2 linked regions of the Macaca fascicularis genome follow. The protein of the gene in region 1 binds, or shares a complex with, the protein of each later gene. Links are inferred from orthologs where the notes say so. Each region holds a gene or a part of one and is shown on either strand. Other genes may lie near its edges. The genes, in order: SMARCC2 and ACTL6B.

The links.
Region 2: SMARCC2 (region 1) and ACTL6B share a complex: the UniProt entries of both Homo sapiens proteins name them as parts of the BAF complex. The link is inferred for Macaca fascicularis from reciprocal best matches to the Homo sapiens genes SMARCC2 and ACTL6B.

Annotation. Positions count from the first base shown.
Region 1 is NC_088385.1:62,975,236-62,979,764, reverse strand, and holds the start of SMARCC2 (SWI/SNF complex subunit SMARCC2), read left to right. Parts: upstream 1-1,681; 5' UTR 1,682-1,706; coding exon 1,707-1,817; intron 1,818-3,844; coding exon 3,845-3,964; intron 3,965-4,529. UniProt on the Homo sapiens protein: Involved in transcriptional activation and repression of select genes by chromatin remodeling (alteration of DNA-nucleosome topology).
Region 2 is NC_088377.1:49,243,962-49,248,310, reverse strand, and holds the start of ACTL6B (actin-like protein 6B), read left to right. Parts: upstream 1-1,256; 5' UTR 1,257-1,338; coding exon 1,339-1,363; intron 1,364-1,793; coding exon 1,794-1,870; intron 1,871-1,902; exon of another isoform or gene 1,903-2,085; coding exon 2,086-2,251; intron 2,252-2,551; coding exon 2,552-2,652; intron 2,653-4,349. UniProt on the Homo sapiens protein: Involved in transcriptional activation and repression of select genes by chromatin remodeling (alteration of DNA-nucleosome topology).

The sequences.
Region 1 (4,529 bases):
GAAATCCAGATGAGAGAATCCCCTGTTTCCTGGGTCTTCGGTGTAATTAGACCTACAAGGTGTGACTTCTGGTCATGAAATTTAGAGGAAACTCTAGGTTTGACTAATATTGCAAAACAGCCACTCACATTCCCAGACAAAATGTAACCCTTCAACCAAATCCTTCCCTATGCCCTCAAAAGAATGAGACATGTGCCAAAGCTCTCCCAGCAAGCCTGAAGTTATAAAATTCTGAAAATGCCTCACAGTCTAGCAGCCAACACAGTCGTACATAATTAAGCTTCCCAAGATCATTCCCATTCTCCCAAATACAGGGGTAAGACCTGTTGGCGGCTTCCTTTTGGAGAGAGAAAGTGCACGAAAGACACTTGTGAGAACTGGGGTTACCTTTACGTGTTGTGAAGTGGGATTTAAAAAGTCGCCGTCAGGCCGGGCGCGGTGCTCACGCCTGTAATCCCAGCACTTTGGGAGGCCGAGGCTGGCAGATAACCTGAAGTCGGGAGTTTGAGACCAGCCTAGCCAATACGGTGAACCCGTCTCTACTAAAAACGCAAAAAGTGTGGTGGCGCATGCCTGTGGTCCCAGCTACTCGGGAGGCTAAGGCAGGAGAATTGCTTGAACCCGGGAAGTGGAGGCTGCGGTGAGCCGAAATCGCGCCACTGCACTCCAGCCTGAGCAACAGAGCGAGACTCCGTCTTAATAATAAGAAAGAAAGAAAAAAAAAAAGCCGTCACGAACAGGATTCGAACCTGTGCGGGGAAACCCCATTGGATTTCGAGTCCAACGCCTTAACCACTCGGCCACCGTGACTTCCAAAACCGCATTTTGCCGCGCGCTTACAGAAGGGGTCCGCACTGCAATCGGGGACTACATGCGGGAACCGGAAGCAGGGTACCGGCCTCGACGCGCACTCACCTGAGGACTCCCCACCCCTTGGTTCCTTACCTCCTATCTACGCCACCCAGAGAAAAAGAGTCGGATGGACCGGGTGACCCAGGGAAGGAGGGTCTCCTGCCTAGCGAAGAGTCGGAGTCTCAAGGAGCTCACACCTACTTAGGAGGCGACAGCGAGGCCAGCGGAGGAAGCAGTTGAGGAAGGCACTGGGTCCCCAAGGTGGCGGCTAGGGGACTTTTGGGTTAACAAGTGAAGGGGTTGCTGGGTGGACAAGCGCGAGGGGTGAGGGAGACTCAGAAAAGTTTAAATGGGGAGATGCTGGGAATGGATGGAAGGAAGGAACTTCTTGGGGAAAGGGTTTTGGGGTTTTGGGGGACGAGGGGCTCCGTCGGATTAGGAATGCGCAAGGTGAGGGCCACTCGGGGCAACGGGTTGGGGCTGCTCCAGCGACTGGCGGCCGCCTGGAGTGGGATAGCGAGGTGACACTAACGGGCTGAGGCAAAAAGAGGGAAGGGCTTCGCGTCTGGTAAGAGGGATCTCAGGAGAATGGCGCCCCCTCCAGGAAGAGTCCTTCTCCCCGGAGGCTCCCGCCGCCGCTGCCGGGTAGGCCACCAGGGTCGGCCTGCGCCTGGAGCTCCTCCGCCGCGCCCGGCCTGCCGGCAGGGGGCGCAGCGCGGACCGGGGCCGGCCCAGGCGGCGGGAGGCGGCGGCCGCGGCGGCGGGAGGCGGCGGGAGGCGGGCGGAGGAGGAGGCGGAGGAGGCGGGAGCTGAGCTGAGTGGGGCGGGCGGCGGCGGGGCCCGAGCCCGAGAAGATGGCGGTGCGGAAGAAGGACGGCGGCCCCAACGTGAAGTACTACGAGGCCGCGGACACCGTGACCCAGTTCGACAACGTGCGGCTGTGGCTCGGCAAGAACTACAAGAAGGTACGCGGGCCGGGCCGGGCCGCGCGGGGACCGGGGGCGGGACAAAGGGACCGCGGCCCTGCAGCTCCGGGATCCTGCCCACCCTCCAGGCGCCCCAGCCCCTCCCCTGCGGCCTTCGGAGCAGCCCCCCGCGCGCCCTCCCGCGCGCCCGCGCCCCTCCCCCAGCCTCCCTCTCCCCGCACCCCTAGCCTCCGAGCCTAGCCCCCGCCCCCACTGCTGCGCCCTCTGCCCCTTGTTTTTCTCTACTGCCCGGCAGGCCCCGGTGCCATTAGCCCACCTTCCCCTCAGCCATCGCCCTCCTGGCTCTTCTGGGAGAGGCGGCCGGCCGGGTGTGGACCGGGTGCCCAATGGGTTCCCCCGCAACCCGGAACGTGCCCGCCAGAGCTCCCCATGGAGCCGGGTACCGGTGGGGCTGAGGCCTCCCCGGTGCTTTGTGTATGTTCAGAGAGAGGATGGAAAGCAGGAGGGTAAACAGTCACAGAGCAAGCCGTTGGCTGCTCATCAGCTTGAAAAAGGTCCCCACCCAGGGATCACCTGTCTCCGCCGCTCATCCCCCACCTTCATCTAAGAGGCAACAGAATCTCTCAGGGAGCTGGGGTATAGGAGTTCCTGGGTAGCGACCCCTTCCAAAACCTTTCCTCGATTTTGCAGTGAAGTCACCCTGCAACCTAGCTTTGCAGTACCGTGGGTTTGGGGTCAAGAGGTTAGGGTGAGCGTTCTATCTCTAGCCCCTCACCCCTAAACCCCATAACTGGCGATCATAAGGTAGTGAACAAAGGGTTTAAGAATCCTTACCTGTCTTTTCTACTAGACCTCTTCGTGGTGTCGTCTTTGTCTCTAGGCCTGGTTTTCCCTGGAAATAGTCTGCCTCTCTTTTTCTCACTACCCTCAGAGAGGGGTTCTCTTTGTGGCTTTCTTTCAGCTCCCCATTTCTTCCTGCCGGCTTTGCAGCTCGTCAGAAGTGTGCTTAGTGGCTTAGGAGAACTTCCTACTGATCCTGATTATGAGCCTGGCCCTGCCCTTGGGGTCTCTCTGGGTGTCAGAATCTTGACAAATAGCTGCTATTTCTATGGCTTGTTTCTATGCCTGTGAGAGGCTCTTGCTTTGACCTTTTGCAGGGAGATCAAGCTAGGGGCTGAGCCTCCGGCCTTGGTGGGGATTGACAACTGTGACCTGGTTCAGCTTCCGTGCTCTTAGCTCTTTGTCATTTACCTTTCCCTTCACAGATCTATCTCTCTTCACCTCTCACTGAGAGGCGCTGTCTTCTTTGTGATGAGGGGGGAGAAAACGGGTCAAAAGGTAAAAAGAAAGTCTCCTGGCTCAGGTTCAAATTATAATGGAAGGCTAGGATGCTACTAGGTAGCGAAGTGTGGAAATATTGAGGTAGAGCCAGGGTTACTTGTCTCGGATACAGTTTCCTCAGACAGGGTAGATGTTTTCTTGCTCTTCTCCATCAGGCTGGTGAGGCCCTTCCTGTCTAGGAGGGCTTATGAAGACCTTTATACCCAGTCTTCAGGAGCAAAATGCACAGGCTCACTCTCAGTCAGCTTGCCCTCCTTCACTTCCTTGTACCTTTTCTTGTTAGGCTACATTATAGGGGGAATCATGGCTTTACACAGAGTTCCCCTAAGAAATGTCTCTCTTAGAGCTCCAAAGGTATTGCTTCCATGATCTGAACTCTATAAACCTCCAGAATTTTAACAACCCTCAGTGCTGTTGGTTGAGGATGAGGTGCCAAGATAATAGGGTCCTGCAACTCTAATTTCAGAGTGTAGCTGAGGAAGAGTAGTAAGCTTCCCTGTTCTCCCCAACACTGGCCATCTGGGCTGGTGACAGCAGAATTTCAGCTTCCTGGTTGGGATGTCCAGAGCCTCCCTTTTGCCATTTTCTTTATAGAGACTAAATAGGGAGAAAGGCACTGTTTTCTTTGCTCCAGATACTTCCAGAGCCCCTGGGGGAGAAATGTGGAAGATAGTGGACAATTTATCTGAGATCTATTTTTCTTTCCTTTCCCTCTTTTCCGTTAGTATATACAAGCTGAACCACCCACCAACAAGTCCCTGTCTAGCCTGGTTGTACAGTTACTACAATTTCAGGAAGAAGTTTTTGGCAAACATGTCAGCAATGCACCGCTCACTAAACTGCCGGTGAGTGCAGAAGTAGGAGAGAGGGCGGGGGGTGGTGGTGGTGAGTCCACCAAACTGGAGAGTTGTATTTTAAAAAAAGATTTGTGAATTTTGTAATTTTTGAAATTTGGGTTATTTTCTACCATCCCTATCCCTGGTCAGGGCATTATTGGCTTGGCCTAGTCTCCAGTTTACCATTCTTTTTGTCTTAGTAATACTTTGTGCAACAAATTATTTCAGAGTGCCTGGGATCAGTCCACAAGTCTCTCATGGCATGGTTAAAAGCGGACTTGAGATTTGGATTTGTGTGGGCTTGTGTTCAAATCCTGGCTTTGCTACTTGATGGCTGTGTGATCTTGGGCAGCATTCATGAGTCTTGGTTCCTTCATCTCTAGATGGGATTAGTAAACCTACCTTGTAGGGTTTCTATAATGGCACCTGAGATAATCCAGTAAAGTGTTAGCACAAGGTGGTGCTTTCTGTATATTGGTTTCTTTCACTCCCCTCTTGCAGGCCACATGATGCAATGGCACAAGGGTTAAAGAATTTCAGCTTTGAGCTGGGTACGGTGGCTCACGCCTGTAAT
Region 2 (4,349 bases), on another chromosome or scaffold:
TTAGAGACCAGACTGGGCAACATAGTGAGGGCCCTTCTCTAAAACAAGCAAACAAACAAAAAAAACCAGGTGTGGTGGTGTGCACCTGTAAGTCCCAGCTACTCAGAAGGCTGAGGCGAGAGGATCACTTGAACCCAGGAGTTCAAAGTTACGGTGACCTGTGAGCGTGCCACTGCACTCTAACCTGGGTGACGGAAGACCCCAATTCAAAAATAAAAGAAACAAAAACCCTCTTGTTGATAAATGCCTCCTTAGGAAAATAGGCGCTGAAGAGAGAGAGAGATGGAGAAAAGAAGCTAAAGCCAGGTGGGCTGTGTGTGAACGTATGTATATGTGCGTAAGCATGTGTACACATGTATAACGCCCAGGTACTGGGGTGGTGGGGGTAGGGGTGGAGCAAAGCAAGGAAAAGAGGGGCCAGCGAAAGACAAAGGAGGGAAGTTGGACACGGTGGCTCATGCTTTTAATCCCAGCACTTTGGGACATTGAGGCCAGGAGTTCAAGACCAGCCAGTCTCTAAAAAAAAAACAACAAACAAAGAAAAAAACAGAGAGAGATGGAGACACACCCCCACCCCCTCTGGTCCCTCTCTTAATCTTCCCTTCCCTCCCTCTCCCGGCAATTCCATTTAGGCCTGGGTGTGGCAGAACCGGGCTCAGAGCAGCCTGAAGACAGATGACCCTTCTGGGGAGTGGAGCTCTCTCCCCAGTCTTGCTTTAAAAAGTAAGGGGGTAGAGGTCGGGCATAGCACTTTGAGAGGCTGAGGTGGGAGGATCGCTTGAGGCCAGGAGTTCAAGATCAACCTGAGCAAGACCCTGTCTCCATAAAAAAAATTTTTTTAATTTGCCAGGTGTGCTGGCACCTGCCTGTAATCCCTGCTATCTGGGAGGCTGAGGAGGATCGCTTGAGCTCTGGAGTTCGAGACCAGCCTGGGCAACGTAAGAAGACCTCCGTTTCCACCAAAAAATTTAATAAAAACAAAAAGCAAGGGGGTAGGGACCTCATCAGTCGTCCTGCAGAGTCTTGGTCTCCGCCTCTGCCCTGCTCTCCTCTCTGCCGCCCGTTCCTTAGCGACGGTCTCTAAGTCCCTGCTAGGCGCCCCCTGCCCCATCTCCTCCTGGTCGCCTAACGGAGGGTATCTTCCCCTTTAAATCCGCGGCCCCCGGTCCGGTCATTGTCTCGCCTGGCAGCCAATCGGCGGCGCCGTTGGGGGCGGGGGATCCGGCCTCCCAATTGGTCGCCGCGCGCCCCGCCCCGCCAGGGATCCCGGGAGCTGTCCGGCCGCCTCGGTGCTGATCCCGCCGCCGCCCACGGGCCGCTAGCAGCGCAGAGGGCACTATGAGCGGGGGCGTCTACGGCGGAGGTGAGCGAGCCTCCGGCCCCCTGCGTTCCGAACCCGCGCCATCCATCCGAGCTCTGGGCACCCCGGGGCCTGTCACCTCCGCGCATGAACTGGTCCAGTCTCAGGCTCGGGTTCCCGCCTCCCCTGCGCTCCGTTCTCGTGCGCACCGGGCCGAACCTCTCTACCTTACAACCCACCTCCACCTGGCCCCGGCCCCTTCCTTTCCCGTCGGGAGGGTGGCCTGAGCAAGGCCAGTGGGCAAGAAGGGACCCTGGCGGTATGATGCCCCCACCCCCAGTCCCAGGACCTCAGACTCCAGGCCCAGTTCCCACCGGCTCCAGACTGGTGTTGAAGGTGGCGAGTCTGTGGCTCTGCCCTGACTTTCTCTCGGAACTACCTAGCGGGAAAAACTTCGGGGGAGGTCCCCTTACAGGCCTGTCTCCCCTCACAGATGAGGTGGGGGCGCTGGTCTTTGACATTGGCTCCTTCTCAGTCCGCGCTGGGTACGCTGGGGAGGACTGTCCCAAGGTGAGCCTTCCAGTCTCCTCTCTAAATCCTAGGGGCTCCGGACCCTTCTTCAGGCTTTCCAGTGACCCAGGGCTCTCCCAGATCGCCCAGAAGCTCTGCTGAGCGGGAATGTGGGAATAAACCCAGGGGCGGGCTGAGGACCCTGCCGTGGGGCTGGACAGGGGCAAGAGGGTGACCCCTCTCCTGCCGATCCTCCCCCAACCCTTCCCCACCAGGCTGATTTCCCCACCACGGTGGGGCTGCTGGCCGCGGAGGAGGGGGGCGGGCTGGAGCTGGAGGGGGACAAAGAGAAGAAAGGGAAGATCTTCCACATCGACACCAATGCCCTGCACGTGCCTCGGGATGGAGCGGAGGTCATGTCGCCCCTCAAGAATGGCATGAGTAAGGGGCCCCCACCCATCACCTCCTGACAGATAGGGAGCCCACTCCCCACGCTGGGACATAGCAGCCCCCACTCCCCAAGGAGTCTTCCTTGCAGCCCCAGGGTTCTTCTCGCTGCCAGGGTTCTTCTCGCTGGGTTCCCTTCCCAGGGGCCCAGCAGGTTTCTGGGAAGGGGGGATGTTCCCCTGGGCCTGGACTCACTGACCCTCCTTTGGGCTTGGCCTTTCTCCCTCCTTTTCTTCCTGTCCCTGACCCCTGCCTGCCCTCTTGCCTTTCTCCACTCTGTTCTTCTGGCCCCAGTCGAGGACTGGGAGTGCTTCCGAGCCATCCTGGATCATACCTACAGCAAACACGTCAAGTCTGAGCCAAACTTGCACCCCGTGCTCATGTCCGAGGCCCCGGTGAGTGCCTCCTGCCTTCCCATGTCCAACCCCAATCTCCACTGCACCTGCTTCCCACCATCCACCTCTCCTCCTCTCCCCTCAAGCCACCGATGTCAGCCACTTCCCTTCCCTTTTCAGACTCCCCTCACCCATCCCAACCACTTTCCTTCCTTCCTAAGTCTCCATCCCTCCTGCTCTCTTCTTGTTCTATCTACTCTGCTGCCCTTCTCCATCTCCAAGTCCTTTTTAAATTTTTTTTTTTTTTGACACAGAGTCTCACTCTGTCACCCAGGCTGGAGTGCAATGGTGAGATCTCAGCCTCTGCCTCCCGAGTTCAAGGGATTCTCCTGCCTCAGCCTCCCGAGTAGCTAGGATTACAGGCACCTGCCATCATGCCTGGCTAACTTTTTGTATTTTTAGTAGAAATGGGGTTTTGCCATGTTGGCCAGGCTGGTCTCGAACTCCTGACCTCAGGTGATCCACCCGCCTTGGTCTCCCAAAGTGTTGGGATTACAGGCATGAGCCACCATGCCCAGCCTCCAAGTACTTTTTAGACCTTTTAACTTATTATTATTTTGGTCAACATTGGTGAGCTGGGGATGTGGGCTCACACCTGTAATCCCAGCACTTTGGGAAGCCAAGGCGAGAGGATCACTTGAGCCCAGGAGTTCGAGACCACCCTGGGCAATATGGCAAGACCCATCTCTTTTATCAAAACAATAACAATTAAAAAAATTTTTAAACTGCATTTTTAAAAATGTTCTTACCCATATCCTTATAGATTCCTCTTTATAGAAGCAACTGTTTTTCTCCTTTTTAGCTAATTTTGGGGGTATTTTCTTCCATATCTCTAATATTACACTTAAATTGCTGCCTGTGGAGTTTTTAGTTTTAGATATTATCAATGAATTTTCCACTCTAGAAAATGATCACTTAGCTCTTTTTTCCTCCCCAGCCTATGCCACAACATATTTCTATTACCCTCCTTTAAGTACAGTGGGTTTTGTTGTTGTTGTTTTTGTTGTTGTTGTTTGTTATTTGTTTTTGAGATTTTGTCTCAAAAACAGGGGCTCCGCTCAGTTTATCACCCAAGTTGGATTGCAGTGGCACAATTCTGCAGCCTTGGTCTCCTGGGCTCAAGTGATCCTCTCATTTCAGCCTCCGGAGTAGCTGGAACTACAGGCATGAGCCACCACGCCCAGCTGATTTTTAAATTTTTTGTAGAGACAGGGTTTCACCATGTTTTCCAGGCTGGTCTTGAATTCCTGGGCTCAAGCGATCCGCCCACGTCGTCCACCCAAAATGCTGGGATTACAGGTGGGATCCACTGCACCCAGCCCAGTTGTGTTTTAGACTTTGAAAGAAATCAATATTCAGTATTTACACTCTTTTTAAGTTAGAAATAATTTTAAGAGAATCTTTTGTAGAGATGGGGTCTCATTATATTGCCCAGGCTGGCTTCAAACTCCCGTGCTTAAGCGATCCTTCTACCTCAGCTTACAAAGTGCTGGGATTACAGGCATGAGTCACTGTGCCCAGCCCAAGATTTACATTTTTATTACTATGTATGTTAATCAGGACTGAGACAGGCAATATACACTATGATCACTTTTCCTTTCTTGTGCAACTTTTTGTTTTCCTAGAACTGGAAAAAAAAAATGTGTTCAATTTTTTTTCTTTTTTTTGAGAGGGAGTCTTGCTCTGTCACCAGGCTG